Linked DNA regions of Sus scrofa. The main gene of each other region encodes a partner of the protein of the gene in region 2 in a complex. Links are inferred from orthologs where the notes say so. Each region holds a gene or a part of one and is shown on either strand. Other genes may lie near its edges. The genes, in order: ARL1 and ARFIP2.

Region 1 (14,737 bases), on a different chromosome or scaffold from region 2:
GTAGCCAATCCTGCGGCAGACTGGGTAGTTTGAAAAGTTCCCTTAAAACTTTTGTTCAATTGTTTTTGATACCTAGCAGCAGTAAGCATAAATTTAAACTTCAGGAGTACTCAATTTCTCCTTATAGAACCAAAAAGAGCTTGACTTTTCACCAAACTTAAAGGTCCAATTACAGGTAGATAAAAGAAATCAAAAAGACATACTTTATAATGCTTCTTAAAATAGCTCTTTAAAAAAAAAATCCTTTAATGTGAAACTTTCTTTAGTATGTTGTGAATTCCATCAAATACAACCATTTAGGACTATTTTTACTACCTCCACTAGTAAGGGGAAATACATTTATAGACTTTATTTTGAATGTGCCGTGTCTACTTCAATTAGCATAAATTTTAATATAAGGAGCTCTGTTGATAATGTTGGCATGATGTAGTTTATGGGACAAGCTTCTGACCCTGAAGTCTCATCTGAGACTCACCTCACTAGCAGGTAACCTTGGACAAGCCTATCAGAACCCTGGGTCCACATCTATAAAGATGAAGACATTACATCCTGTCCTAGCTTCGTAGATCCATTATCTGTAAAACTGTCCCAATAACTATAGATACTAAAAAATGATAATTACAGATAAGTCAGTGAAGTTAACCACCAGAATAATCACTTTAACTCATGCCTATAACCGAAAGCTTTTAAATAAAGCAGCTTAAATAAAGTGGTCATTAAGCAAATGAAGACTAAAATTACCCACACTAGGTTCTTAGCCTACTCTATGGCGCCTAATCTTTGGAAAACCTTTTAAATTCATTTTAGGGGGGAACATCTGAGTCAAGATATTTATTAGTGTTAATACAAACAAGCTGCAACCACTAATTTAAAAATTGGAAGGTTTTTTCCTCAATAAGTACATTCTTTAATGGAACTGTATCTAAATAAGAATTCCATACAAATAAACTATATACCTTAACACTAGAAAGCAAGGAAGGAGTATTTTACATTATACAGAACAGACTTTCAGTGGGTTCAATCACGATGAGTTACCCTTCCAACCAGATACTTATTTGTTATATTTATTACAAATGTTGCAGTCAGTTCGGTATATGCCAGCGATCATACAGTTTTAACATTTTGTAGTGTGAAGCACACTTAGCTGTTTCCAAAGGGATATGTGATGTGGTCTTCATTTCAGAGGAACAGAAGTGACTGAATTATTGTCTGCTCTTTAATGTTTCAACTAACCTGTGAAGAGAAAAATGAAGTTCTATAACATTAACTTCAAATTTTTAGGTATAGGGCATGGTCATTTGTAACACAAATTTCACACTGGAAGTAGATTCCAGAAGCACTTTAAATGGGAGTTCCTGTCGTGGCTCAGTGGTTAAGGAACCCAACTAGTATTCATGAGGACATGGGTTCGATCCCTGGACTTGCTCAGTAGGTTAAGGACCTGGCGTTGCAGTGAGCTCTGGTGTAGGTCAAAGACATGGTTTGTATCTGGCGTTGCTGTGGCTGTGGAGTAGGCCAGCCTGGGAACCTCCATATGCTTTGGGTGCGGTACTAAAAAGACAAGATAGAATAAAATAAAGTACTTTAAATGATGAAGGCTAAGATAGTTATATCAGAAGAATAAGGCGATGGACTCAATTTCCATGAGGATCTTTCTAGTTTTTCACTTTGTCTACGCTTTGAATGAATAATCAAAAAAGACCAAATATCCACTTTCCAGGCTGCTACTACTGTAGCCAGGTAAGATGTAGATAATTCAGGGAGGAAAACTAGTCTCAGTCGTCAAGGAGATGATGATCTAATGAGTAGATGCACAAACCAATTACAAGATAGTGGAACAAGTTCTATTAGGTCACTGACCTGTGACAAGGACACCTATGTGTGTGCTCAAGGCAGTGGGCATGGAGACACATCAGGGAAGGCTACTGAGAAGAGAACCTTAACTGCAAGCACAAGGAATTGGAGGGTGGGGTGAGGCAGGGGAAAGCTAGAAACAGAGCAGAGAGCTGGCTTATCTAAGTATAAAAGGTAGGTGTGGGTGAAATAAAAGCATATGTACATGAAGGCCAGTGGAAGAAAAGGCCAAAAGAACTTAATATGATAAACAGCTAGCTAAGTAATCTGAATTTCATCAAGACTAAAGGGAAATTACACATTTGTACACAGCTGCATGTACACACAAATACGCAAATGACTTCTAGAAACATGATACTTAACCACTCCATTGCCTCATCAAGGCCAGTGCCTTTGGTTGCTGAAGTTTTGAATATTTGCCATTTTCGGTCCTTCAAGGCAGGTAAGCCAAGCGAATTTGCCATCTCTGACGGAGTCATGGCCTGTTCCATGTCCTGTTTATTTGCAAACACCACTAAAATGGCTTTTCTAAGCTCTTCTTCCTAAATAAAATAGAAAATGTTTTATTGCTTCTAATCAATTTGCTTCCTTGAGTTTAGGAAAAAATGCCAAAATATCCATTACTTTAAAAGCACATTTCCTAGGTGTTCCTGTTGTGGTGCAGCAGAAATGAATCCAACTAGGAACCCCATGAGGTTGCAGGTTCGATCCCTGGCCTTGCTCAGTGGGTTAAGGATCTGGTGTCGCCATAAGCTGTGACATAGGTTGTAGACTCGGCTCGGAATCAGCGATGCTATGGCTGTGGCATAAGCCAACAGCTGCAGCTCCAATTGGACCCCTGGCCTGGGAACCTCCCTATGCTGTAGGTGCAGCCGTAAAAAGCAAAAAAATAAATAAAATAAAAGCACATTTCCTAATTATTAATATATAATGTTCATTATAATGATTTAAATTATAGAGAAGTATGAAGAAATGAAACTTCACCCATAATCCTATCTCCTGAACATGATCACTGCTTAACATTTTGGGTGTTTTCTACTGCTCTGTAATTCAGATACTTATAGTTTATTTAATAAATATATTCATATATTTAAGATCACATTTAAATATGGTTCCATACCTCCTTTAAAAAACAAACATATTGTAGATATTTTTCAAAATCATAAAAAAATTTTTTAATTAATGGCTAAATATACTCTACACTATGAATGCATGCGCCATACATGATAGAACTGTTTTCCAGTATTAGATTCTTAGTAGATTCTTTTCATTCAAGTATTAGAGAACCCAAGTGATAGAATCATTACATAGAAAGCTTTCTGCAAATCTTTATTTCCTTCATCACTGTTCTGTGAAAATGGGATCAAAGTATGAAATTTTTTCCAGGCTATTAGAGAGGTTGTAACAATTCCAACTCCACAAACAGCATATGACAGTGCCCGTCTTCAATGCAGCTTTGGCAGAACTGGACACTGTATTTCTTCACACATAGCATATCATTATATACTTATTTATTACCAGGGTACTAGAAATGCAAATGTTATTTGCAATATACTTTTCTCCCATAAACTGTAGGTTCATGCCTCTTGCTCATTTTTCTATTGATTTGCAAAAGGTATTTATATGATTAAGAACACTAATCCTAGTGTCACTAGTTATGAAACTGTGCAGTTCCCTATGTTACCCTAATTTGTATTGTTTGGCATCTGAGCTTTGGTTGTTTTTTGGTTTCTATTAATATAATCTATCACTTCTTTTGTAATTGTTTCCAATCATTTGATTCAGAAAAACCTTCCCAATTCAGAAATTTTAAACACTTATAATGATTTCCCTTTTTCTGGCCACACCCATGGCATGTGGAAGTTCCCAGGCCAGGGATCGAATCCATGTCACAGCAGTGACCCAAGCCACAGCAATGGCAATACTGGATATTTAACCCGCTGAGCCACCAGGGAACTCCCCTGATTTCCATTTTTGTATTTAGTTCTTTAATTCATTTAAAATTTGGGGGAATTCCCATTGTAGCTCAGCGGTAATGAACCTGACTAGTATCCATGAGGATACGCACTGGATCTCTGGTCTTACTCAGTGGGTTCAGGATCTGGTGTTGCCATGACCTGCGTGTAGGCTGCAGATGAGGCTCAGATGTGGCATAGCTGTGGCCAACAGCTACAGCTCCAATTCGACCCCTAGCCTGGGAACTTTCATATGCTGTGGGAATGGCCCTGAGAAAACAAGAACAAAAATAAAAATAAGTAAATAAATACACAAAATTTTTGTGTACAAAGGTAAAACAAATTGATTTTGTGCCTATAATTTTTTTTTTTTTTTGTCTTTTTAGGGCCACACCTGTGGCATATGGAGGTTTACCAGGCTAGGGACTGAATCGGAGCTACAGCTGCTGGCCTACGCCAGAGCCACAGCAATGCAGGATCCGAGCCACATCTGCAACCTACACCACAGCTCACGGCAACGCCGGATCCTTAACCCACTGAGCAAGGCCAGGGACCGAACCCACAACCTCATGGTTCCTAGTCAGATTCGTTTCCACTGCGCCACAATGGGAACTCCTGTGCCTATATATTTTAATATAGTAGTTCTGACTCCTACTCCACATGTACATTATATCATTATTTATTGATTGAATTGATTAAGTTACTTTCTAAAGAATGAATAAATTTTTTAGTCCTTTCTTCCTAAGATTATACAAGTCAAATCTTAATACCACAAAAAACCTAACAACAATCTAGCACAATTTGAGAACTGTGGAATAAAGTTAAAAATCCATTTCTTTTCTACAGTATTTTACACAATAAAAATCTATTATACCACATGATTTACATCTAAATAAAGATTTTATTTTAAAAATCTGTTATACCCAAGGCAATTAACCAGTCCCTTAAAATTCCTCATACTTTGCAGTTCCTGTTGCGGCTCAGTGGTTACGAACCCAACTAGTATCCATGAGGATTCAAGTTCATCCCTGGCCTCACTCAGTGGGTTAAGGATCCAGAGTGGCTGTGAGCTGCTGTGTAGGTCGCAGATGCAGAGTGGATCTGGCATTGCTGTGGCTGTGGTGTAGGCTGACAGCTGCAGCTCCAACTGGACCCCTAGCCTGGGAACTTCCACATGCCATGGGCACAGCTATTAAAAAAAAATAATTCCTTATACTTTAAATTTGGTCTAAGAAGTAAGAAGCTCTTATGATAAATATGATGCTATATTGTAAAAGCAATTAAGCAAAACTGTAAAACTTTAGGTCTGCAATTTCTAACTCAGAAGCTACTAAGATGTTGGTCATCCAAAAAATGAGAAGTCTGAAGTAGGTAATCAAGTGGCCTAGAATTTAACATTTAAACATTCAATGATCAGATAATCCAGAATAGTAATGTTGGTGGGAAAAAGAAATCTACTCATCTAATTTTATCAAGCAAAGGTAATTTTGTTATTAATTAAATTAATCATTCGTATATTTGAAAAGCTTTTTAACAAATGGAGGTTTTAAAACTTAGCTGATTAGTCAATGCATCCTGATTTCAGTCAGCTAGCCAATGAATTATCTTACAAACCTCAGTGAAAACAACGTACTGAGCTCTTACTTAAGAGCTGCACGTGGTTCTACACATCATGGGTACAGATGTAAAACTCAAAGTCTTTTCCATTTTAGGGTGAGAGGTATATATAATTAAACAAATATATTTTAAAATAATGGAAAGAAATGATTGGTGGTGCAAAGAATAAAGTAGGATAAGGGGTTGGAATATAAGTGAAATCCCTCTCTGCAGAATAAACATGTCAAATGAAACATGTCAAGAAGGCAGCCATGCAAAGATTTGGAAAAAGCATTCCAAGCAAGAGTAACAGGAGTTCCCACTGTGGCTCAGCAGGTTAAGAACCTAACTGTACCCATGAGGATGCAGGTTCGATTCCTGGCCTCCGTGGGTTAAGGATCTGGCGTTGCCACAAGGTATTTGTTTTTATTTCTCCAACAATATTTTTGGAATAGGAATTTGTAAGGAAGAAAATGGTACTAATCCCTGTTTTCCCTTTTTTTTGGCCCCACCCAAGGAAGGCATGCAGAAATTCCTGGGCCAGGGATGGAACCCACACCACAGCAGTGACCTGAGCCACAGTAGTGACAAGAACACCCGATCCGTTCACTAGGCTACTAGGGAACTCCTCTGTTTTCCTTTTAATTATTCCTGTATGTGACAATAAACAATGAAAACAGCAAGTAAATGTAAATTATTTCCCCACATTTTTACAAAGCTTTCTTACCTCCAACATGGCAACTAACTCTGACTTGGAAATGCCAATTCGGTCTCGGTCACAACTGTCTACTACATAAATGACTGCATCTGTGTTTGAATAATAACATCTCCAGTATGGCCTAAAGAAAATTCAGAAAGGGAGAACATATTATTATTTAAAAGAAGAAGAAACTGAGATGTTAATTTACATTCTGGGTCTTGGCAACACTGGCGTAGGGGGTATAACTCGCCAATCTTTCCCCACCCATGTAGAATCAATGCATAATGACTCACTGTTTCTGACAGACATACACCCCTCAGGTGGGACAGGATGGAAAAAATGTTCATAAATATAAATCACAGGAACAAGGAACTTCAGAATGAGTTCAGGCTTTAGGCTAAGAAAATACATTTATAATCTACAGCATCACTAAATGTACTGATAAAAAAATGTTCTACACAGACCTAATTGTTGTATCTTCTAAATCTTTAACAAGAAACTCCTTAAGAGGGATGGGTTCTTAAAAAAAATTTTAATATAATTTTTTATAGTAGACATTAAATTGATCACTGAAGACAAGTAAAAATGGCTAAAACTAGAAATAGACGCAAAAATGGTTCAAGAAATAAAATGAGTGGAAGGCAGCAGGATGTCTGGGGAATGCACTACTGATCTTTTAAGATAGTAAGTAGCCTCGTGAGGAATCGGTGACAGCCATTAAACCTTCACAGTTGCCATGTCAAGCACAGAATGATGGGCAGGAGACCTGACTTTCAGAGGGCATCTATGTTCATATTAGCCCAAATGGTGGACCTAAAAGGTATTTTCATGAAATCCAAAACAGCCTGTCTCATAGAGCAAGGGACTGACAAGAACTAAATAGAGGACCCTCTTGATTTCAAATTACCGAAGTATTTAGGTCCTGAGATATTCGTGGAAAAATTTTTCATTTAAGTGATATCTGAAAAACTAGCTTCCTTAGATTTTAATTCTTTAGTTAAAATTTTTAATTCTCAGATCTTAATTGAAAGAAGAAGGCAGTTTTACTCAATTTAGACAAGGTGGGTCCCAATAAAATTAAGAGGAAGGTATGTTTTGGTTTACTGCTATTAACCCTAAAAGAACTAATAAAGATTCAATACTGCAAAACTAAGATGGCCTTTGTACCATACCTGATACTTGTCTGTCCTCCTAAATCCCAGACTTGGAATTTAAGATTCTTGTATGTTACCGTCTCAACATTAAATCCAATGGCTGGAAGAGAAATTAGATTAGTAGTTTATGCAGATTAGTGCATTCTATCTTCAAAGCACACAGGCTGGGGCGTTCCCACTGTGGCTCAGCGTGTTAGGGACCCAACTAGTATCCATAAGGATGCGGTTTGATCCCTAGCCTTGCTCAGTGGGTTAAGTATTTGGCATTGCCACAGGCTGTGGTGTAGGTTGCAGATGTGGCTCAGATCCCATGTTGCTGTGGCTGTGGTATGGGCCAGTAACTGCAGCTCTGATTTGACCCCTAGCCTGGGAACTTCCATATGCCACAGGTGCAGCCCTAAAAAGCAAAAAAAAAAAAAAAAAAACCAAAAAAACACAAAAAAACAGTACATAATCTGAGTTTCCGAAATTAATAGTAATTGTTGAATAACATTATTAGCTGAGTAGTCTTCCATTTAAGTTAAGACAGCATGCAGTGCTACACACACACACACACACACACAGGCATTAATTAGCAAAATCAGCCCCATTTTCAGGGTATACAAGAATCTCTGCAAATATGAAATTCGTAGCTCAGTGGAAACCCTATTATGTTAAACTCCCCTTATAATACAGTACTGGCATACAAAAGTGTTCAGAAAGTTATATTTAGAAAGAACAGTTATAGACATTACCAAAAAAAAAAAAAAAAAAGGAATTTTGGTAGGTAGTCAAATAACAGGGAACAAAACCAAGAAAGCCTAGATAGATTCTAAACTTCAGTGGGTAAGGGCACAGCATGGCTCTATACTCCTTTAAGGTTCTCTGAGGCTGGCAATTTCACAGACCCTCTGAAGACTTCCCCAAGAGCTCATTTGTAGTAAGGTCACAGCGGGATGGTCAAAGGGGAGGTGTCCCGTCCCTTTCCTCTACCATCCTCCATAAGTGGAGCTCTGGCAACACATGGCTAAGGAAGGATACTACTCCACTGAAAGGAGTCTAAAAGAGGGTAGAGAGGGAGTTCCCATCGTGGCGCAGTGGTTAACGAATCCAACTAGGAACCATGAGGTTGCGGGTTCGGTCCCTGCCCTTGCTCAGTGGGTTAACGATCCGGCGTTGCCGTGAGCTGTGGTGTAGGTTGCAGACACGGCTCGGATCCCGCATTGCTGTGGCTCTGGCTAGGCCAGGGGCTACAGCTCTGATTCGACCCCTAGCCTGGGAACCTCCATATGCCGTGGGAGCGGCCCAAAGAAATAGCAAAAAAAAAGACAAAAAAAAAAAAAAGAGGGTAGAGAGGATGCTGAAAAAAACTTAGGAGCTATGTTTTATACATACACACAAACATACACAATGATCACTAAAATTTTACAAACTTAAAAAAAAAGTAAAAAAAGACAGATGTAACTAGACAATTTTTAAGATTTAAGTTTTTACTGGCAAATGATGCTTATGAGCACGTGGCAAGTAAGCTATTACAACTAAAAAAATAACTATACTGGAGTTCCCATTGTAGCTCAGTGGGTTAAGAACCCAACATGGTGTCTAGGAGGACATGGGTTCGATCCCTGGCCTCTCTCATTGTGTTAAGAATCCGGCATTGCTGCAAGCTGCAGCATAGGTCACAGATATGGCTCTGATTTGATGTTGCTGTGGCTATGGCATTGGCCTGCAGCTGCAGCTCTAATTCAAGCCCTGGCCCCGGAACTTCCATATACTGCAGGCACTGCTATAAAAAGAAAAAAACAATTACACTATAGCAAAACTAAGTGAAAAACTAAAAAGTTCATGATACCTCCCTTAGAACTGGGTAACAGTGTAATCACAATCTTCACCTCAATTAGGAACACTGTTTATGTGCAAAGGAAAAGTGTGGACAAGTATAAACCACACTCACAATCAGGCCGAAATGTAATCCACTGGGCTACGTGTACTAAAGAAGCCACCAAGACTCAACTGCAGCACAAATGGGCAATTCTGAGACATAAAAACTGAGGAAGATGAAATTTACTGAGGGTGGCAAAAAGAAGTAACAGATGACACAGAAAAGTTCCTCTTTCATAAAAGCTAGATTTCTTTTTTAATCTGGAAATTTAAATGGTATTATATACAGACGTTCCTTGAGTGACAAAGTAACTTTAAAGGCATAATTTAAATACACTTTTTGTGTGTGTGTGTGTCTTTTTAGAACTGCACCCACAGCATTTGGAGTTTCCCAGGCTGGGGGTCTAATTGGAACTGTAGCCACCAGCCTATGCCACAGCCACAGCCACAGCAATGCAGGATCTGAGCCTCGTCAGCAGCCTATACCACAGCTCATGGCAACGCCAGATACTTAACCCACTGAGCGAGGCCAGGGATCGAACCTGTATCCTCATGGATACCAGTCAGATTCGTTTCTGCTGAGCCACGACGGGAACTCCAAAAGGCATAATTCAAATATTCTTGAGTGAACTCTACAAACTTAGTTTAAGTGCACTAATTTTCTCTAAGTAAATTCAGGGCAACAATGAAAAAAGCATATAAGTAACAGGACAACATTCTTATGTAGTAAAATAGGACTGCTGAAGAACATTTTTCTAAGATATCAATTGATTTAGAGTTATTTCTGGATATGTTCAAGTACTAGATTAATTCAACACTCAGTCTCTTCAACAACTCACATCTTGAAAAGTAATCAATAGAATTGCTTAAGAGAAACTAATCTTAAATAGTTACAAATACAGGAAAAACCCTGCTTCACATGTATAATATCACTTAATAGCTATACAATTCTTTTTTTTGGCAGCACCCACAACACGTGGAAATTTCTGGGCCAGGGATCGAACATGCACCACTGTAGTAACCAGAGCCACTGCAGTGACAATGCCGGATCCTTAACGTGCTGAGTCACAAGAGAACTCCTCTATATAATTCTTTACACAGGCTTACAGAGTATTTTATATACTTGATGTACTCCCCCTCAAAGCCAATCTTCATTTTATCAATGAAAATACTGGCTCTCAATGAGATTAGGTGATATACCTCTACCCAACTTTTAAAATAGCTCTAAATGGCAAAATTCTACCACGCAAAGAGGTGCATTAATTACACTGAACTCTATAGAAAAAAAAAAAGGGTTACCGCAATCCCACTCTTGGGCATCTATTCGAACAAAACTCTACTTAAAAGAGACACATGCACCCGCATGTTCATTGCAGCACTATTCACAATAGCCAGGACATGGAAACAACCCAAATGTCCATCGACAGATGATTGGATTCGGAAGAGGTGGTATATATACACAATGGAATACTACTCAGCCATAAAAAAGGATGACATCATGCCATTTGCAGCAACATGGATGGAACTAGAGAATCTCATACTGAGTGAAATGAGCCAGAAAGACAAAGACAAATACCATAAGATATCACTTATAACTGGAATCTAATATCCAGCACAAATGAACATCTCAGAAAAGAAAATCATGGACTTGGAGAAAAGACTTGTGGCTGCCTGATGGGAGGGGGAGGGAGTGGGAGGGATCGGGAGCTTGGGCTTATCAGACACAACTTAGAATAGATTTACAAGGAGATCCTGCTGAATAGCATTGAGAACTTTGTCTAGATACTCATGTTGCAACAGAAGAAAGGGTGGGGGAAAAAATGTAATTGTAATGTATACATGTAAGGATAACCTGACCCCCTTGCTGTACAGTGGGAAAATAAAAAAATTATTAAAAAAAAACCTTATTAAAAATAGACAGCTTTATTTAAAAAAAAAAAAAGGGTTACCAACATTATGCTCATAGTAGAAGTTTACAAACCTTATCAATTACAATATACAATTATTTATTCGCAAATAAAGTTACGTTGGATGGAAACAGAAAGCCCTTATAATCAGTTTATCACACAAACACTTACTAGGAATAGTGGTTACGACTTCTCCAACCTGTAATCTGTACAAAATTGTAGTTTTTCCTGCTCCATCTAATCCCAAAATTAAAATCCTCATTTCCCGGGTTCCGAACAGACTGGAGAAAATGCTTGAGAAAAAGCCACCTTAAAAAAATAACAAAAATGAATTTCAATACCATTTTGTGAGCTATGTCCACAAAAGATTTAATCTTGCCCTTTGAAAGCTATACCAAATTAAATACTATTGTAATTCATAGGTGTATATTTTGCTCCCGTGAAATATATTATTCAACATCAAAATAGTAATTACTAATTGCTACCACATTCTAGTAGATACCAGGTGTCAGAGAGATAAAGATACACTCAAAAACAAGAGAAATATGACCACTGTCCTCATGAAGCTCACTTTCTACTGAGGAGAATGCAGCTCTCTTAGCATCATCTCCTCACTACCCCAAAGTGCAAATCAGAATGACATTAAACAATGAGGTTCTTGAACATGAAAAGTAATTATTATTGCTGTATAGCAGCAATATCATCTTAAGTACCTTCAATCATTGAGTATTCTCTGTAAGGAATAGAACTAGCACAAAATACTGAGACGAAGCCAAAAAATAAAAAAATAAAAAACTGGAGTTCCCGTCGTGGTGCAGTGGTTAACGAATCCGACTAGGAACCATGAGGTTGCGGGTTCGATCACTGCCCTTGCTCAGTGGGTTAACGATCCGGCGTTGCCGTGAGCTGTGGTGTAGGTTGCAGATGCGGCTCGGATCCTGTGTTGCCGTGGCTCTGGCGTAGGCCGGAGGCTACAGCTCCAATTCAACCCCTAGCCTGGGAACCTCCATATGCCGCGGGAGCAACCCAAGAAATAGCAAAAAGACAAAAAAAAAAAAAAAAAAACTATTTTTGATGGAAAATCATTAGAAAAATAAGAAAGCTACATTCAGTGCATTATGTAATATTACCAGAAAGCTTTTTACACACAAGGTATTGTGTAATATAAAAGCACTTGTGAACAGAGAATAGGACGGTGGTTACCAGATAGATACCCGGGAAATGGGGGAAATAGGAAAGATGTTAGTCAAAGGATATAAACTGTTTGAAGATAAATTGTGGAGACTTTTAATAAACATCATGGTGACTATAAGTAACAACAATGTATCATACACTTGAAATCTGCTAAGCAAGTAGACTGGAAGTGTTCTCATCACACACACAAAAAGGTTAACTATGTAAGGTGATGGATGTATAAATCTGCTTGATTTGGTAATCATTTCACAATGTATACCTACATCAAAACTGTATCCCTTAAATATATGCAATTTTTATCATTCATACCTCAATAAAGCTGGAAAAAGTTAAAATTTTAAAATTATCCTTTGTCTCTGCAGGACTTCCCAACAATAGGTTAAGGTGTTGATTCATTTGCATTGTTTAAATAAAATAACCCCTAGGAATAAGGGAAGTGGAAATTTGGAATCTTTATTCTTTTTAGAATAAAAGAAAGCACTTTTAAAATAAGTCTTTTCTGGAGTTTCCGTCATGGTGCAGCGAAAAGGAATCCGACTAGGAACCATGAAGTTGCGGGTTCAATCCTTGGCCTCCATCACTGGGTCAAGGATCTGGTGTTGCTGTGAGCTGTGGTGTAGGCCACAGATGGGGTTCGAATCCTGCATTGCTGTGACTCTGGTGTAGGCCGGTGGCTACAGCTTCGATTGGACCCCCAGCCTGGAAACCTCCATATGCTGCGGGTGAGGCCCTAAAAAGCAAAATAAATAAATAAATAAATGAAAAGAAATAAAAAATAAAAGAAGTTTTTTCTGCAGCTCCTGTTAAGAATCCGACATAGTGAGGATGCAGGCTGGATCCCTGGCCTCACTCAATGGGTTAAGGATCCAGCATTGCTGCAAGCTGCAGCATGGATCACAGATGTGGCTCAGATCCAGTGTTGCTGTGGGTGTGGTGCAGGCCAGTGGCTGCAGCTCCAATTCAACCTCTAGCCTGGTAACGTCCATATGCCACAGGTGCAACCATTAAAAAGAAATAACTAACTATATATGCATGTTTGAGTCACTTTGCTGTACTGCAGAAATTATCCCAACACTGTAAATCAATTACACTTCAATAATTTTTTTTTTTTTTTTTTTTTACAATGGCACTTGTGGCCTCTATAAGTTCCCAAGCCAGGAGTTTAATCGAGTTTAATCAGAGCTGCAGCTGAGGCCTACACAACAACCACAGCAACACCAGATTCCAGCCATCTGTGACCTATGCCCCAGCTTGCAGCAACAGCCAGAACCTTAACCCACTGAACGATGCCAGAGACCCAACCCACATCCTCACAGAGACAAGGTAGGGTCCCTAACCCACTGAGCCACAATAGAAAGTGGGAGGTGGGAAGAAAAGTGAAGGGTTTTGAAAAAAGACAGGTAAGGTGTTCCTGCTCTGGTGCAGCAGAAATGAATCTGACTAGTATCCATGAGGGTGCAATTTCCATTTCTGGCCTTGCTCAGTGGGTCGGGGATCCTGCATTGCCCTGAGCTGCGGTGTAGGTCGCAGACCAGGATCCTGCGTTGCTGTGGAGTAGGCCGGCAGCTATAGCTCCAATTTCACCCCTAACCTGGGAACTTTCAAATGCCTCAGGTGCGGCCCTAAAAAAAAAAAAAAAAAGTAAGCGCTTGTGATGTTCCAGAGCAAGAAGTAAACTCCCGAGAAAATCGCAAAGAATTTGCATCATTTGGAGAGATGTAAACAGGTTTAAAAATCTGCACCTTCAGGTGGGCTCTATCGGGGAGGGAAGCGGTCTTTACCTGACGCTTGTAGTGACGATGTAGTTCCCTCAATTAGCACTCCAAAAATTGAGATTAAAACATCATCTCTAGTAATACTCTGCCCATTTCCTCCTCCACTTTATTATCTACGTGAAAAGCTACAGACAAATGCAAGCTACAGACGAATGCCAAATTGGCAATAAAATATTACGAGTAACCCTACGAGCAACCCGCTCCCTCCCTCTTGGATTTTAAGTGTCGCTGTTCCAGAGACAGGGAGAAAGAATCAAGCTTCCACTACAAGGTCAGATCTCATCTTTCACCGAAGAAACCTCAGGGAACCTACGACTGACACGTTGCCAAGCTTCGCAAGACCGGCTCCGCCCAGCAGGTCGAGCTGGGTCCGAGGGAAGAGAGACCCAGCTGTCCCCACCTATGACCCCGCCGGGAAAAAGGTGAAACAAGGGCAGGGGAGAAGGTTCGAGGTACGGTCCATGCAGACCCATCCAAGAGCCCCGTTAAGTGTTGTTCAGCGACCCGCCCTCTAAAACGCCGACTATTCCGGGCTTTCCCGGCCGGCCCCAGCTCTGGGCCTCGGCCTCTCGAGCGCGCGCAGGCTCCCTTCTCAGGTCTCTCACCCATGATGAACCTCCTCTCCGCCCTCGTCGATCGTCAGAGACCGGCCCCAGCCTTGGCAACGACTCCTATTCGAGCCTTGGCGCCGCCACCGCCCCTCGCCTAGGCCTGCACTCCAGCTCCGTCTCCAGCTCCGAGG
Region 2 (15,409 bases):
AAATTTCAAATTTTGCTCTTAAGGCCTTCAACTGATTAGATAAAGCCCACCCACACTAGTGAGGGTTGTTTCTTTTACTTAAAATCAACTAATTGTAGGAGTTCCTGATGTGGCTCAGTGGTAATGAACCCAACTAGGATCCATAAGGATGAGGGTTCGATCCCTGGCCTCGCTCAATGGGTTAAGGATCCGGCGTTGCTGTGAGCTGTGGTGTAGGTCGCAGATGCAGCTCGGATCCCACACTGCTGTGGCTGGGGTGTAGGCTGGCAGCTACTGCTCTGATTTGACCCCTAGCCTTGGAACTTCCATATGCTGCTGGTGGAGCTCTTAAAAAAAAAAAAGACAAAAAGGAAGTCAACTAATTGTAGATGCAACCGTACCTATAAAATACCATCCTAACCACACCTATAAAATACCATCCCAACCGTACCTATAAAATACCATCCCAAGTACCACCTTGATGGTTAATACTTGATGAAGTAATTGGGTATTGTAACTAGCCAAATTGACACATCAAACTGTTACAGAAGCTATTTAAAAGGAACCCTTAATCTTCCAAAACGAGTCAAAAAACTTAGATCTAATCTCAGCCACTCCCCCTTCCAGTTACCACAAAAGGATGACCTGTCTCTAAAAGCCAAGCTCTAGATCTCTGTTCTGGAAATATTCTCTCTTGCCTTCATTTATCAACAAATATTTGTTGAGCCTGAACTGTGTTGGGCACTAATTCAGTTGTTTGGTCACATCAGTGTACAAAACAAGAACAGTGACAAAAATGCCTCGTTTATGGAGCTGGCATTCTAATGGAGGGATGCACACAAAATGAGGAAACCGACCAGTACCTGAGAAGCCAAAGGGCTACGGAGAAAAAGGGGGTCGGGACTGTCTGGCGGGAGGACGGGTGCAGTTTAAACGTGCGATCCGAGCACGCCTTCACAGGGAGGCGGCATCCAAGCAGACACGACAGCACGCAGGGCAGCCCGTCATCCTACCGCTGGCCTGGTTAATTCTAATTCCTCCGTCAGATCGCAGCTGCAGAATCACTCCCTCAGGGAGGCTGTGCTTCACGGCTCACAGGGAAGTCAGCAGTCGCGTCTGATCCCGGGACAGCGCTCACTCCTCCTCCGTGGCCTTCATCCCAGCTGTTCTCTACCGACCTTCACCGCATCCACGTCCAGCTCCGAGAGAACAAGGACGGCCTCTTCCCCGTTCACCTCTGACCTGTGGAGCTTAACGGTGTTGGTCAAAGCAGCCACCCAAGTATTTATGAAGCGTGTAAATATATGGAGGCATGTGGGGCATACCCAGACACGGGAAAAAAAGAGCCTGGAATTAGAGGATGTGTCTGAACACCACAAACAGATTGATTCTTTTATAACCAAGGCTAAGAGAATCAAACACCGAGGAAACAGGGTTGAAGATGAGGCCCGAGCAGTCATCTGGGTCCTGACCAGAGAAAGCCTCAGAGGCGAGGCTGAGGAGTTAGAAGGCTTCGCGAGGCTTTCGGGAGCCGACCACGACGGTTAAGAGGATTCAAGAATCGCTCTTGGTTAGTAGGGAAAGGGACGGGCAGGTGTGCTCCAGCAGCCCGTTCTCGTCTTTGAACCCCTTTAACTGGGTAAATGACTGCAGGGACAAAGACGACACCTCCCAACCTCCCCTGTAACAAGACCTGCTCATCTGCTGCACCAGGAGCCTTTCCGGTGTTGACTGATCTGTGAATATGAAAGGCAAAAGATACCAAAAAGTGGAATTCTGAATGAAAAACACCTCTACATCACTGGCAGAAGGCCTTAAATGCAGGTTCTCTCGTCCCTTCTGACAAAAAGCCTTTATTATGTAAATATGACTTGACTGAGCCGGGAGGAGACGGAAAGATGTTCATTCAACAAATATTTATTAAGCCCTTTTACATGCCCGGCACTGATAAGGATTCAATGGTGAGCAATAAGGACAAGGACTCTGACCTCCTGAGGTTTATAATTACCAAGTGTACAAGGCTACAGGCCCAAAACAGGAGGGATTACGGAAGCTGGAGCCCAGGAAGAGTCATTTGAGGAAAGAGTATTTAAACTAAGTATGTAAGAATGAGTAGAAGTAGGTAGGGTCAGGGGAAAGCATTGCAAGCCAGGAAACAGCAGGTGCAAAGGCCCTGAGACGACAGAGGTGAGACAGGTTGTGGGAACTGAAAGGCCCAGGGGGTTAGAGCACAAAGCCAGTGAGTGAGTGAGTGAGGTGCGGCCCCGTTCAGGTCAACAAGCAGTATTAACTGTCCAGGGTTTGACAGTCACGAGATCAAGGCAGGCAGGGGCTGGATCACACAGGGCCTTGTTGGTCAAGAATGTCAGTTTTTATCCTAAGAATGGGAAGCTGCTGCAAGGTTTTAAGCATCAGTCTGTATCTTCTGGCCAGTGAATGCGGAATAGACTGGAGGGTGCAGAAGTAGACGTGGGGGGGGGGGCAGGAACTGCAAGAATCCTGGTGGGAGACTGTGAAGATGAAGAAAAGCAGATGGAATCCAGGGATTTTTAGAAACGTAAACTGATCATCTAGCAACTGAGTGAAGGGATGAGTGAGGTTTCTAGCTTCTGCAGCCGGTGGAGCACCAGGCCCAGCGAGAAACATACTGAGTTGGGATCCCCGCCCCGGCTCCACAGTGTGCAGTAGCTTGAGGTGGGATCTCTTTCCAGACTAGAGACTGAACCCTGGCCGCAGCGGTACAAGCACGCAACTCCAACCACAGGACTACCTCGGAGCTGCCAGGTTGGGATATTCTTGAAACACCTCAGTAGAAATATCAATCAGATGGCTCAGGGGTCAGATCTGAGTCACAGTAACTAAAGCTCGGAGTGGAGATAAAACATTTCCAGAGAGATTATACTCAGAAAGAAACATTTGGATTTAATGGCTGGAGGAGACAAGTCCTACAAAGGAGGCTAAGAAGCTGTGGCCAGAGGTGGCAGCAGTGAGACCACAAGTGGAATCACAGACACTAATGAGAGCGAGATGAGGGACTCGGCAACAGCACCAGACGCCCCTGAGAAGTGAAGGAAGCTGGGGAAACCACCACTGGCTCCAAGCAGGTGAAGGTCCCTTGGTGAGCTGGGGTGACCTCGGGAAGAACTCTTCCAACAGAGTAAAGGCTGCAGAAGTCCAAACAGACTGGGTGGAACGGAAATGCAGAGAAGTCAGAGCTGTAAAAGCAGAAACAAACTGGATGGTGCCCGGGCGGCAGTGGCTTGTTTGCTGCACCGGGCTCTTTAGCTCATTAAGACGCTGCTGAGAAGAATCAGGTGGGGAAACGTCAGCACTCTCCGCAGGAGGGAGGACTGGGATGGAGGCGCAGCAACAGGCACTGGCCTTAAGAGGGACGCCGGTCCTGTTTCGACAGGAGGGAGAGGAGAGAATGACGCAGGTGTAGGTGGGTTTGGGGTTGTGAGAAGTTGCGGGAGCTCCCCACTGACAGCTCCGACATTTGCTAACGAGGTAAAAACAAGGCTACCAGCAAAAAGCGAGGAGACGGTGCAGGTAGAATCCTGGTTTGAAATAGTCACTGCAGGGAACAGGAAAGCTGACTTGAAAAATCTAGTGGGATTACAGGGGCTGAGGCTCCATTTGAAGTTGATAACCACGGATTCACGGTGATATAAATCCTCCCTACACTGACTCCCTTATAAGCCTAAATGCATGCACAGATGGTTCATCTTATCCAAGTCCAACAAAGAGAAGCAAGGACATCTAGCCTATTCCAAGCAAATGGCTAGAATTTAAGCTTGACAGGAATCTAATGACAGGAAGGTGTTAATGGAGAAAAAGTGGAAGCAATGGCCTGACTGCTCCAGTGAAACTTGTGTAATAATTTGTGTGATAAAAGGATAAAGTTTTGTCAAAGCTCATCCTCGAGTTGTGCTTCGAATGTCACACTGCTCTCATTATGTCCATGGGACACTTCACGGGAAGACCTGAAGGAGATTTCAGTGGCTTCTGATACATACTGAATTCTTACCTCCTCATCTCTCAAGTGGGGATAATATCGAAACCAGAACCTATACAAAGTGGGTGCTCAAGAGACGATTTTGAGAAGCAGCCTGGTATAGCAAAGAGAACGACACCAGGCTAGCATAGTTCCCTTAAAGAGATATACTTTAAGTATATCGTAAAGTCAGATCTGCCTTTTGAGAGTCTGCTACCAGAAGAATTCAATATCCTGACCTGTATAGGGGGAGAAAACAACTGTTTTGTGGGTGGTTTCAAGTTTTTTGAAAAAGTACTACTGTGGAAACCAACCAAGCTTTTGTCTAAAAGCTCCCATTTCCATTATAAAAACGAAGCATGATCACCGAAGGGGGAATAGCTGAGGGTGAGGTGGGGGGTTAGGGAGAGCAGTGAAGGTGTAAACAGCTGCCATGGTGATGAGAAGAGCAAACAGACCAGGAACCCTCCAAATGCTATTTGTTGGTAGAGCTTGGTTGCAGCTGGGACTGGGAATATTTAGTGGCATTCACTACACAGCTGTGTTTTCCTCTAGCTGTGTGAATGGAGGACCAGAAAAGTTAAAACAGCTGGACTGGGAGTTCCCTGGTGGCCGAGCAGTTAAGAACTCGGCATTGTCACTGCTGTGGCTTCAGTTTGATCCCTGGCCTGGGAACTTCTGCATGCCATGGCATGGCCAAAAAATAAATAATAATAAGTAAAACAGGTGGAATGATACAAAAAGGACACAAGGGCAGCAAAAAAATTCAGGGATGGAGTGACATGCCACTGAGACTGCTGAATACAGAGGTAAACTCCACAAGGGAGGCAATAATGAGGAAAGAATGGAGAGGCTGGAATTAGAAACCATGGGATAGGCACAGCTGGGACAATGCAGAGTAGGGGGCAGGGCTGGAATTAGGAGATCACAGGCGAGCAGTGAGACAAGAGCGTAACATCCAAAAGCTTTTCCTTTCTTCTGTTTTTTTTTTTTTTTTTTTTTTTTTTTTGTCCCCTTAGCCACCACCCTCTACTTCTGTGGTTTTCTCTCCCTTGAGTCTGACTATAGTGCAGAACATGGCTCCCCAAGTTTTCCCCTGACTGCTCCTGAAGACGAGCACACAGACCTCCTCGGTTTAAAGGATTTACTGCTCAATTTCTGGGAGTATTAAGAAAGTAACAACTTGGGGGAGTGGTTAACGTTCTAGAACACCCAGAAGTCCTATAGGTTTCATCTGTCTGGGGCTACTGACTTTCGAAGAGGTAGTGCCTAAAAGCCCTGTGGTTTCTTAATCCATGGTCCTTAATATCTCTAAGCGAACCATTTAAGTCAGACAGATTTAAGGACAGAGTTCCCATTTTCTCTGCCGTCTGGGCACGAACCAGCGTCTTGTTGCCAATTTTAAAGCTGTACCCACAGACCTTCCTTTAACCAGGTGCCTGGGAATGCTGAGGTTTTCCTTCCACACACAGAAGGCAACTTCTCCCTGCCCAGAATATCAACCGCACAGATTACAGCAGGTTTATTAGCTCCAGGAAAAGGAGCAACAGTACCTAGCTCTCAGGCAACTCCTCATTCTCTACATACAGGCTCCATCTTGCCCAAGGTCCACTGCTCCTTCAACGTGAGGGTCCATCCAGTGCCTCCCTTCTCAGCGTTGAGGACAGCTAGCTGCCAGATGGCGAGGCTTCTGGCTGTTCAGCAGCAACACCTGGCACAGCTGAGGCAGCCTCGTAGTCAGCGATGCGGCGCTGTACCAGGGCAGGCATGAGCTGCACGTAAGCGGCCATGAGGCGGTGGTTGGAATGGATCAGCTTCCCGGCACAGCTGTGCAGACAGGCCTCCTGGAAGGAAGACAGGGTGGAAGTAGAAGCCAAAGGTGTCCAGTCAGGTCCGTTTCCCTCCTTCCCATCCCCAGCCTCAGGGCGGAGGTCGTGGGAAGCCAGGGCCGGACGTAGGGGAATTGACGGGAGAGGGAAGCAGTGCACGGTTAGCTCTGAGGCTCGAGGAGCACTTCCCTACTCAGTTCCCCCACCTAACCTCCTCGGCATCCAGAGCTCGGTGATGCAGGCTGGGCACGCAGCGCTGGAAGCAGAGTTCCGTCATCCGATTGTAGACCAACAGGAAGTCCCGCAACTGGGGAGGAAGGGGGACAAGGAACTCAGCGAAGAGGGGGCCACGTCTCAACTCAAGGCCGCGCTGCCGGCGCTTTCCCAGGACCGTGTACCACGGCCCGTGGTTCCCAGCCCTTGGATGCCTGGCTCTCTGGGGTTTCCGCCATGCGAACAGGGATGCTAGCTGGATGCAGGGCCCTTAAGCGACTTAGCTCCCACTCACGTTTCTCAGCTGCTGCTGCTGCTGCTGTTGCTGTTCCATCACGCCGCCGGCGCACAACCTACGTCACTTCCGTTACAGCTTCTAGGGAACGCCCCGGAAGTGACCTCAATGGCTCCCCAGGGGCAGAGGGGTTGGCTCAAGGAGCGCCCGCCCACCTCCCCGCGACGTCACTTCCGCCCTCATAATCGGCTACGTGGCCGGCTTCTTCTGCCCGGGAGAGGACGTCACTTCCGCCGAGTCCCTGACCTGCTGCTAGGATCGCGACGGGAACTGGATCCCGAGATCCCCGCGCGGCCCGGGCCTGGCGCCCTGAGGGGAAGAGCGGCCCGGCCCGAGGTGAGAGGGACGTGCATGGGCGAGGGCAAGGTGAACGCACGAACCTGACCTGAGGGCAAGATGCTTCTGAGCCCTGGGAAAGGATGAGGACACACCTGACGCCCAGGTGTATGGGGGGAGGGCGGAGACTCACACACCTGGGGAGACCTAACTGACTTTGGAAGGGATCACCTCCCTATGTCCTGGGGCAAAGGGACTTTTCCCCGGGGTCGGGAACTTACACCAACTGATTCAACTAAGGCCTGGGGCGGGGGTGGGGGCAGGAAGAGGGGGTGCATGGGATGGAGGAGGGGGAGACCACCTGCAGGAAAGAGGAGGAGACATTAGAGGAGTGTGAAAGGCCAAACAATGGCGAACATACCTGAACGGGGATAGGCACCTGAGCGCTGGGAAAGGGATTGTCTCCTGATGAGGAGGAATACCTGCGTGGGGATAAGCTGCTTGAGAGCACAGGCTTTCTCTCCATTGCCTCAAATAGTGCGTGGCATGTAGTAGGCACTCATTAAATGTCTGTGGAAGGACTGAATGCATGAATGATCCCTGGACTGCTGGGGGGGTGGGGGTGGGGGGGTCATGAGAACATGACCTCTGGTCAGGCACACCTGAGGCCTGGGTGCCTGTGTGTAAAACTTTGCACCTTGGAAGGGAGAAAGACAAAGCCCCGAGGGAAGAGTGGTGGGCAGACCCCACCACACTGAAGCCCCGGGACGGCCTCTGCAAGGGCAGGGGAGACCTTCCTCTTCGGAGAACTGGCCCGTTTCCAGAACTGTCTGTGTTGGGCTTTGCAGGGCGCTGGGGTGGAGACTTTGACTCCAGTCCCTTCGCTCGCCATGACGGACGGGATCCTAGGGAAGGCAGCCACAATGGAGATCCCCATCCACGGGAATGGTGACGCGGGGCAGCTTCCTGAGGATGATGGGCTGGAGCAGGTGCTTCTGTTTGATTCTTCACATTGTTTCAGTTGAGGAATCCCAACTCTTAAACCCTGAGCTCTCTCCTTCTTCCAGTAGCCTTCCCCCAACTCACCTGATTTCCTTCAGTCTTTTTACCAATCTTTGTTCTGATTCTGTGCAGACTTCCCTTGTGTGCTCTCTCTATGATGCTTCAATCCAAGCTTGTTTTCACCCCCAAAATGCTTCAGCTGCCCATATGTTCCTGAAGCCCCCCTCTTCTCTGGCCTATAGGACCTCCAGCAGGTGATGGTGTCAGGACCCAACCTCAATGAAACCAGCATTGTGTCTGGTGGCTATGGGGGCTCTGGTGATGGACTCATCCCCACAGGTATGAATGATCAGAGCAGGATAGGGCATTGAGTGGAGAGGGGAAGAGGACTGGCTCCAGGGGGCATAGGATACGTCTAAGAAGGCGTGAATCATGTCTGGAGCTCGTGGGAACCTCTGCCAGGATGAACCCGCGGGCATCTCAGCCCAAGGCCCGTTCCCAGGGGTGTCCATCTGCCTCCACTTGCCACTTTGTCCCTCAGATATGCCCACTTGTCCCTTCTCTGCCGTCACTACCTGAGTCAGGCAGAGAACTCTGTTCACCAGGCCTCCCCTGCTCTGGAGCTTGAATCTGATTTGGAGCTTTGAGAGGCTTATCAGAGTCTTACGTTAGACTCTGCTATTTAGAGGAACAAGCAGCCCTGAATCTCGCAGTGACTGGGATCCACATGGGAATGTCAGCCAGGTGTTCGGTTCGAGGGGCGCCCAGCCATGGTCAGCGACCCCATTCTCAGCCTAGTCTCCGCTGTTTCCTCTGCCCCTGCACACGAGCAACCCCTCCCACCTCCCTTTCCAGTCCTCACCTCCACGTCAAAAGGAGGCCAGGTGTATGTTGGGATTGGGTCTCAGGGTCCAAGGCATGAATTCCTCCTAGTGAGTCTCCAGCCCTGCTCCTTCCGGGGCGTCATTTTCATGTGCTGGGAGGGAAGTGTGGGTGGAACCACAGAGGCGTCGGATTGTGTCTGAGAGAGGCTGGTGTCAGAGAACTTGGTCCTTTAGGGTCTGGCCGCCATCCATCTCACAGCGCCCCTCCTGCTGGCCCCGGGGATGAGGTGGCCCGGGGCATCGCTGGAGAGAAGTTCGACATCGTCAAGAAATGGGGCATCAACACGTATAAGGTGGGATTCACGCACCTCCTCCGCCCCCTGAGCTCCCCCGGGTACCTCTTCCCCATCTTGCGGATCCTCCTGTCCCATCATCTCGGGCTGAGACTTGGAGTCTGGGGACGCCGGGGTAGACACTTGCTGCGGGGCAGGGCCGGGCGCCAGGGTCTCTGACCTGTTCCCCCACTTCCCACTCAGTGCACAAAGCAGCTGTTATCAGAGCGGTTTGGCCGAGGCTCCCGGACTGTGGACCTGGAGCTAGAGCTGCAAATTGAGCTGCTGCGTGAGACGAAGCGCAAGTATGAGAGTGTCCTGCAGCTGGGCCGGGCCCTGACAGCCCACCTCTACAGCCTGCTGCAGACCCAGCATGCACTGGGGGATGCCTTTGCTGACCTCAGCCAGAAGTCCCCAGAGCTTCAGGTGCCTTGGGCAGGCCAGAGGGGGAGGGGGGCCTGGGCCCGGGGCCCTCCCAGGCAGTCACCCCTCAGCCTCCCTCCTCCCTCCCTCCTGCAGCCCAGAGGGAGAACCCCTCCAGGGTGGGCCCAGCCCCGCCCCCAGCAGCACTCACCAGTGGAGGCAGCCTAAGGGTTTGTACGGAGGTCCAGAAGTCGGAGGGGGTGGGGGAGGCGGCACACTAGGTGCCTCGCAAATAGCCCTTCTCGGCCTCGGCGAGAATGCCTTCGGTGCCCAGCCTCATCGGAGCCGCTCCCTTGCCTGCTGCACTGGCTTGCCCTCTTCCAGTCCCGTGAACTCCGAGAGCCCCGCTCCCACGTTCCTGCCCTAGGCATCCCCAGGGGGGGCCCACGACCCTTCTGGCTAAGAGAGCCTTGCTGGAGGCCGCCCTGGGTGGCTCCAGTTCAGTGGCTGTTTCCTCCGGGGGAAGGAGGGCAGGAAGGGCCCCGCAGCTCTGGTCAGGTGGAGGCCGTTGCTCAAGGCCGGTCCCTGCCTTCTGCCCTCAGGAGGAATTTGGCTACAACGCCGAGACGCAGAAGCTGCTGTGCAAAAACGGGGAGACACTGCTGGGGGCCGTGAACTTCTTTGTCTCCAGCATCAACACGTTGGTGACCAAGACCATGGAAGACACGCTCATGACTGTCAAACAGTATGAGGCTGCCAGGTGTGGGCACTGGCAGGGCCCAGGGGTTGGGGAGGTGGCCGGCATGAGCGGAAGTCTGAGCTTTAGGGGCACGAGCACGGAGAAGGGAAAGGATGGATGGTGGAGACCAGCCTCTCTCACCCCCTCCTCAGGCTGGAATACGATGCCTACCGGACAGACCTAGAGGAGCTGAGCCTAGGCCCCCGCGATGCAGGGACGCGTGGTCGACTCGAGAGTGCCCAGGCCACTTTCCAGGCCCATCGGGACAAATACGAGAAGCTGCGGGGAGATGTGGCCATCAAGCTCAAGTTCCTGGAAGAAAACAAGGTGCTAACCCCACTCCTTTGACCCAGCCCCCCCTCCCTCTTTGACCCAGCCCCCCTCCCCCCAAAGACCGGCCCATCGTTGAATGAAAGTGTAACCTGGCTAAGGAGTGGGGTCTTCCCCCAGCCCACTCAACCCCTGGACCCCTCCTAGCACCCTCCCCCTGATCCCCAGCCCTTTTCTAGTGGACGATGTGGCTGCCAGTCCAGGAACAAAATTGGGAAAAAAATCAGCCCTGGAGCTGGGATGCCAGAGCCCCCTAGGCCCGGCCAGTCAAGCCAGGTTTCTCCTAGCAGAGTGGCTCTTACTCTTTGAGTCCCTTGTCGAAGCTCGGCCCCCACTTCTAAAGCACCCTGGGCGCGGAGTCCACGTCCCCCCCCCCCCCCGCCCCGGTCCAGGCTCAGGCTTACAGCCCCTTGGGGGCGGGTGAGCCCAGTCTCGGTGACCTTACTGGGCCCCCAGATCAAGGTGATGCACAAGCAGCTGCTGCTCTTCCACAACGCTGTGTCGGCCTACTTTGCGGGGAACCAGAAACAGCTGGAGCAGACCCTGCAGCAGTTCAACATCAAGCTGCGGCCTCCGGGCGCTGAGAAGCCCTCCTGGCTAGAGGAGCAGTGAGCCGCTCCAGCCCAGCCTGGCCATCAAGAAGGACATTGAGGGGGCAGGCCCAGGGTGGGGGAGATTTGGACCTGGGACATCCCTTGCCACCTGCCCTCTGGCTTGGGTTCCCTTTCCCTGGCTGGGGCCTGACGCCAGTTTTACCCACACTGCTGTGGGTAGGGAGGGGCTTGCAGGCCCAGCGGCTGCTACCCTGTTCTGTACTTCCTGGCCCCTGGGCTTCATTCCCAGATCTTTTCCTTCCACTCCACAGCCAAAGGCTGTGACAAAACCACTCCCTGGCCAACGGCATCACTCCTCAGGCCGATCCCCAGCTCCTGGGGGGTGCCCCCTGACCAATGGCAGGGCCTCAAAAGGCCCTGTCAGCCAATGGCAGCTCTTCTCAGGCTCCCCTGGGCCAATGATGTTGCCTCCAGTACCCTTTGTCCCTCCTCGATGCGTGCCCATTGCAGAGAAGGGGACTGGGACCAAAGGGGTGGGGATGGGGGAGCCCTCTTTCCGGCCCTGTATCTGAATGGGTCTCCCCTCACCTCCCCACCCAGTTTAATTGTGCTTAGAGCCCTGGAAGATGGGGACCTAGCACTAGGAATAAACCTTTCATAAAAGCAGGCCCAGTGCAGCCAGTTTGTGGGGGACTCTAGGCGGGTGGTCTGGGTGGAGAAGCGCTCAGTCTAACGGTGGCCCAGTCCCGTCAATTCAGGGGAGCTGGGGCCAGACAGCTCAAGTCACGAGCATCAGAAAGAGTCCGAGGGCCCGCTCCCTCCCGAGTCCCAGTAGGAGGCTTTATTTGCCCGTTAGGCTAGCACCGAGACAGCAATGGATCTTAAAACACCGGGCCCCGAGGAGTTGGGCCCCTGACCTCCATCATCCATCCATTCATACGGCAAATACTCACTGAGTGCTTTTATTTGCCAGGCACTGCGCTAGACCCTGGGGAAACATCAGGGAATAAAACACAGTCCCTGCCCACAGTGCTTATGGCCTAGTGGGGGATAGAGGCATGTAACCAGGCAACTAAGACACAGTGAGAGCTGCCAGGTCCTGAAGCTCAGAGGAGGGTGTCTGGTCTAGACGGGGGCCTTGGGGGTGTCCGCCTGAAAGCGGAGACCTGGCAGCCAGGTGAAGGGTATGGGGAAGAGCATTCTAGGCAGAGACCAACCCAGGTGAAGGCTCGGAGTAGGAACTGGAAGGAATTCAGCTTGGAATGGGAAGTGAAGGGGAGTGGCCAGGGGATGACTACAGAGGTAGTAGGTCGTGCCAGGCCTTTTCAGGCTGTGAAGCCTTATCGGGAGAAGTCTCGGGTCCCCTCATGTTGTGTAGCCCTGGCCCCCACTTCTACAGCAAACATGAACTCCGTCTGAGGCTCATTCGCAAGCACCAGAGCACCCGTGCTGGGCCCGGCACTAAGGCGGGTGAGAGGTCAAGGCAGCTTCCAGAGCCACTGCCATCCCGCTGTTGAGCCCAAACCTGACCCTTGTGTGAGGCAAGGAAAGCTCCTGACAGCACCGATTTAGTCGGGGTCCAGGTAGCTCCAGAACCTGGCAGCACCCTCCTCTCCCTCTGGAGGCTGCAGGCCTCTGGCGGTGGCTTAGTCAGGGGGCTGGTCCATACACAAGCCCCTCCACTTTAAGGCCGCTGGAGATTTTTCAGCCTGAAAGGTGCTGAAGCCCGGCCTGACTGGAGGCAGGCCCTCAGGCAGAGCTCAAGGCCTGGTTCCAGCACTTTCTAGCTGGCTGATCAGGGTTAATGTCTGGGGAGCCACGGGCCCTCAGTTCTTTCCGTTGCAAAACCCAGCTAATAAAAGAAGCCACCTATTAAGATGAAGAGTATGAAGGGTAATATATGCAAAGTGATTCGTTATGTGTCTGGCACACAATAAGCACTCAGGCGCTGTTAACTGTTATTGTACTTTTTGATTATTTTCCACCGGGGCTGCTTTTCCACAGTGCGACGATTCTGAGAATTGCTCTGGTCTTTGGAGGGTGGGAGGCAGTCGCTGGAGGGCCTGAACCATAATTTCCTCAGGAGGAGGCTCTGGAGGCAGAGCCCCGCACCTGTGTACCCGTCGGCCGCTTCTCCCAGAGCTCTGGGTGCTGCCCTTCCACCTTGGGGCCCTTCCGCCGCCCCGAGGTCTGGGCCGAGGCACAGACGCCCGGGTCCTCCGCCCAGCAGAGACCACGCCAGCATAGTCCGCAGGAGCCCGCCGGGGAAGCCTGGAAGGGCCCCTCCCCGAGGCAGCCCTTACCGGCTCCCAGCGTCCGAAACCCCCGCTGCCCAGCTGCCTTTTCTGGACGGAGCCCCTGAGACCTGCGCTGCCGCCCGTCCCTGGAACTGTCGGGAGCACGAAGCGGCTGGCGGGGAGCGGGGAGCGGGGATCGAGGATCCGGGCTCCGCGCGCCGCCTCACGGGCTCCCCAGCCGGATCGCGGAGGCAACATCTGCGGGAGTCTCCGCCGGGGTCGGGGAGCGGGGCGGGCGGGGCCTCCGCGGCGGTGGGCGGGGCGTGGGCGGGGCGTGGGTCCCCGCCGCCCCCTCCCCCGGCTGGTCCGCAGCCCCGCCCCGGCCCCTCCCTCCGGCCTGTGCGGCTGGTCCGGCGGCGGCGCCGGCGCGGGGACAGGCGGAGGCGCGGGACGTGGGGCGGCGCCGCGGGCAGGGCCGGGCGGACGGGCGCTGGCAGCAGGGGCAGCGCCGCGGGCCCCTCGGAGTGGCCGCAGCCGGGCCTCGGCCCTCCCATCCTGCCTGGCCGCGGTGAGTGCGACGGGCGGCCCCCCGGGGGGCGTTGGTATCCCCATCTGCCCGGCCCCGGTCCGGGTGCGAGCGGCGGGGTCTGTCCGAGTGTCTGTGGGTGGGGGCACAGATGCTTTCCCAGAGCTGTGCCTGCCTCTGTCCACGTGAGGCGTGTCCCTGTCTGTGAGAGCAGTGGGGGGATTCTTCGGGCTGTGGCTGCTCACGTGAGGTCCATGTTTGGGGGGGAGGCGCGGGTGGATGGGTGATGGATCCTTGGAGCAGCTCGGGGTTTGGGAGCGTGTGTATGTTGGCGGAGGGGGTCGAGTGCTGCGGTCGAGGATGGGCGGGGGGTGGGGGCGCGGGTGGGGTTGCGGAGTGGGACTCTGGAGTCTTGTGGCCCAGCTCGTCCGCGGGCTCCTTTCTCGCTGGTGCAGACTCTTCCAGCCCTTGCCACCCCCTCCATCCTCCTCAGGTACCTAGCGGCCCCCCGGGGGCTCTAGGGGACACCCTTTTCTCCTCTCGCACTGGCCCCTGGACAGGAAGCCTCCTCCGGAGGCTGTTTCTTGCAGGAAAGGACCCTTCTGTTTCCCCTGCAGCCTGGGCCCGCCTGGAGGACCCCAGGCCCCTCCCTGGTCCTGGCCTCCTCCCTTCTGGACTTGGCTCCAGCTCATGGGCTGCAAACCTGCAGGGACAGATGGTTGCAGGTCGGAGGGGCAGGCTGCATCCCAGGGAGGTCAGTCCGCTGAAGGCCGGCTCTGGGCTCGCTCCTGGCGTGGGGGTCTCTGATGTGGAAAGCAAACCCAGGGCTGGCCCTGGTAGCAAGATGAGATCTGGGAGGTTGGAACAGGTGCAGAGGTCTTTTGCACAGGTCTCTCCTCGCCTGTCCGTCCAGCTCATCAGTGCCCATTCATCCCCTGAAGCAGGGCTCTGATTTGCTGCAGAACTGGAATCAGAGCTGCAGGCCTGACAGGTGCCCTGCCTCTCTTGGCTTGCATGCCTCCAGTGACAGAGCACTTACCACCTTCTGCTACGGGAAAGCTTCTTTGTGTGAAGTGGAGGGCTTTTTCCTTGGAACTTTGTTCCCTTGTCTTGTTACTGCCTTTGATTTTGCCTCTCTGTCTGGTGAGAAGGAACTGCAGTGATTTAAACATGGCTCTCCTGTCACCAGCATATACTGAGCACCCTCTGTGTGCCAGGTGCTGCCTCAGCCGCTTAGGGGACAATGGTATTCTTGCTGAGAGAAGAGCTTGAGCAAAGGCCCGTCGTTGGGAGAGTACAGCCTGTGTTCAGAATAACAGAGCCAAACCATATGGCTAGGGCAGAATGTGCCTGAGGGAGTGGCATGGGTGCCCTAAACCCAGCAAACGTTTATCTTGCAAGGGGGGCAGGAAACAACTGCAGCCGCTCCCTAACACACCTAGCCTTTCCTTGGAAACCAGCAATCAAATACCCAAGGTGGTACAAGACTGGATTTAATCTTCACCTGGACAGAGAGAACCTTGGGAATCTCAGGTTTGGGGATGAAAACGTGCCCTCCCCCCAGTTTACAAAGCGAGGGGCTGGAGGAGGGTCTTGCCCGGAGTCCTCCCTTACGTTCATGAAAAGTAGCAAGAGTCAGGACTAGCTCCCGGATCTCCTGAGCTTTTTACCTAGACACCTGTTAGGGCCAGACAGAGTCAGAGCTCGAACCTGAAAGATGGAGGAAGAGGAGGAAATGAGAAGATGCACGGGGTTCCGGCTGGTGTGACTCGGTGGATAGTGTTGCCTTTTGTTGAAATGAGAGCTACAGCCGGAAGAGTAGCTCAGGGGAAAGTGAATTCCATTTTAGGCTAGTCTCTAGCAGAACCCCTGTCCAAGGTACAGCTGGCTATACAGGCCTGGGTTCAAGAAAGTTT

The links.
Region 1: the proteins of ARFIP2 (region 2) and ARL1 are in contact, whole or in part, in a crystal structure (PDB 4DCN), measured with the Homo sapiens proteins. The link is inferred for Sus scrofa from reciprocal best matches to the Homo sapiens genes ARFIP2 and ARL1. Residues at the interface, in NP_001363487.1 of Homo sapiens: Phe205, Thr212, Lys216, Thr217, Asp220, Asp278, Ile281, Lys282, Phe285, Leu286, Glu288, Asn289, Lys292; in NP_001168.1 of Homo sapiens: Glu17, Arg19, Gln38, Ile46, Ile49, Gly50, Phe51, Asn52, Val53, Glu54, Thr55, Gln64, Trp66, Ile74, Tyr77, Cys80, Tyr81.

Annotation. Positions count from the first base shown.
Region 1 is NC_010447.5:82,796,204-82,810,940, reverse strand, and holds part of ARL1 (ADP-ribosylation factor-like protein 1), read right to left. Parts: 5' UTR 14,605-14,737; coding exon 14,601-14,604; intron 11,336-14,600; coding exon 11,198-11,335; intron 7,360-11,197; coding exon 7,278-7,359; intron 6,245-7,277; coding exon 6,133-6,244; intron 2,397-6,132; coding exon 2,218-2,396; intron 1,234-2,217; coding exon 1,203-1,233; 3' UTR 1-1,202. UniProt on the Homo sapiens protein: GTP-binding protein that recruits several effectors, such as golgins, arfaptins and Arf-GEFs to the trans-Golgi network, and modulates their functions at the Golgi complex.
Region 2 is NC_010451.4:3,243,520-3,258,928, forward strand, and holds ARFIP2 (arfaptin-2), read left to right. Parts: upstream 1-6,491; 5' UTR 6,492-6,646; intron 6,647-7,434; 5' UTR 7,435-7,476; coding exon 7,477-7,575; intron 7,576-7,830; coding exon 7,831-7,927; intron 7,928-8,646; coding exon 8,647-8,765; intron 8,766-8,948; coding exon 8,949-9,170; intron 9,171-9,709; coding exon 9,710-9,867; intron 9,868-9,998; coding exon 9,999-10,173; intron 10,174-10,632; coding exon 10,633-10,788; 3' UTR 10,789-11,397; downstream 11,398-15,409. Other genes in the region: TIMM10B (mitochondrial import inner membrane translocase subunit Tim10 B), read right to left, coding at 5,641-5,817, 6,014-6,109, 6,311-6,349. UniProt on the Homo sapiens protein: Plays a role in constitutive metalloproteinase (MMP) secretion from the trans Golgi network. May have important functions during vesicle biogenesis at certain cargo subdomains, which could be predominantly utilized by secreted MMPs, such as MMP7 and MMP2.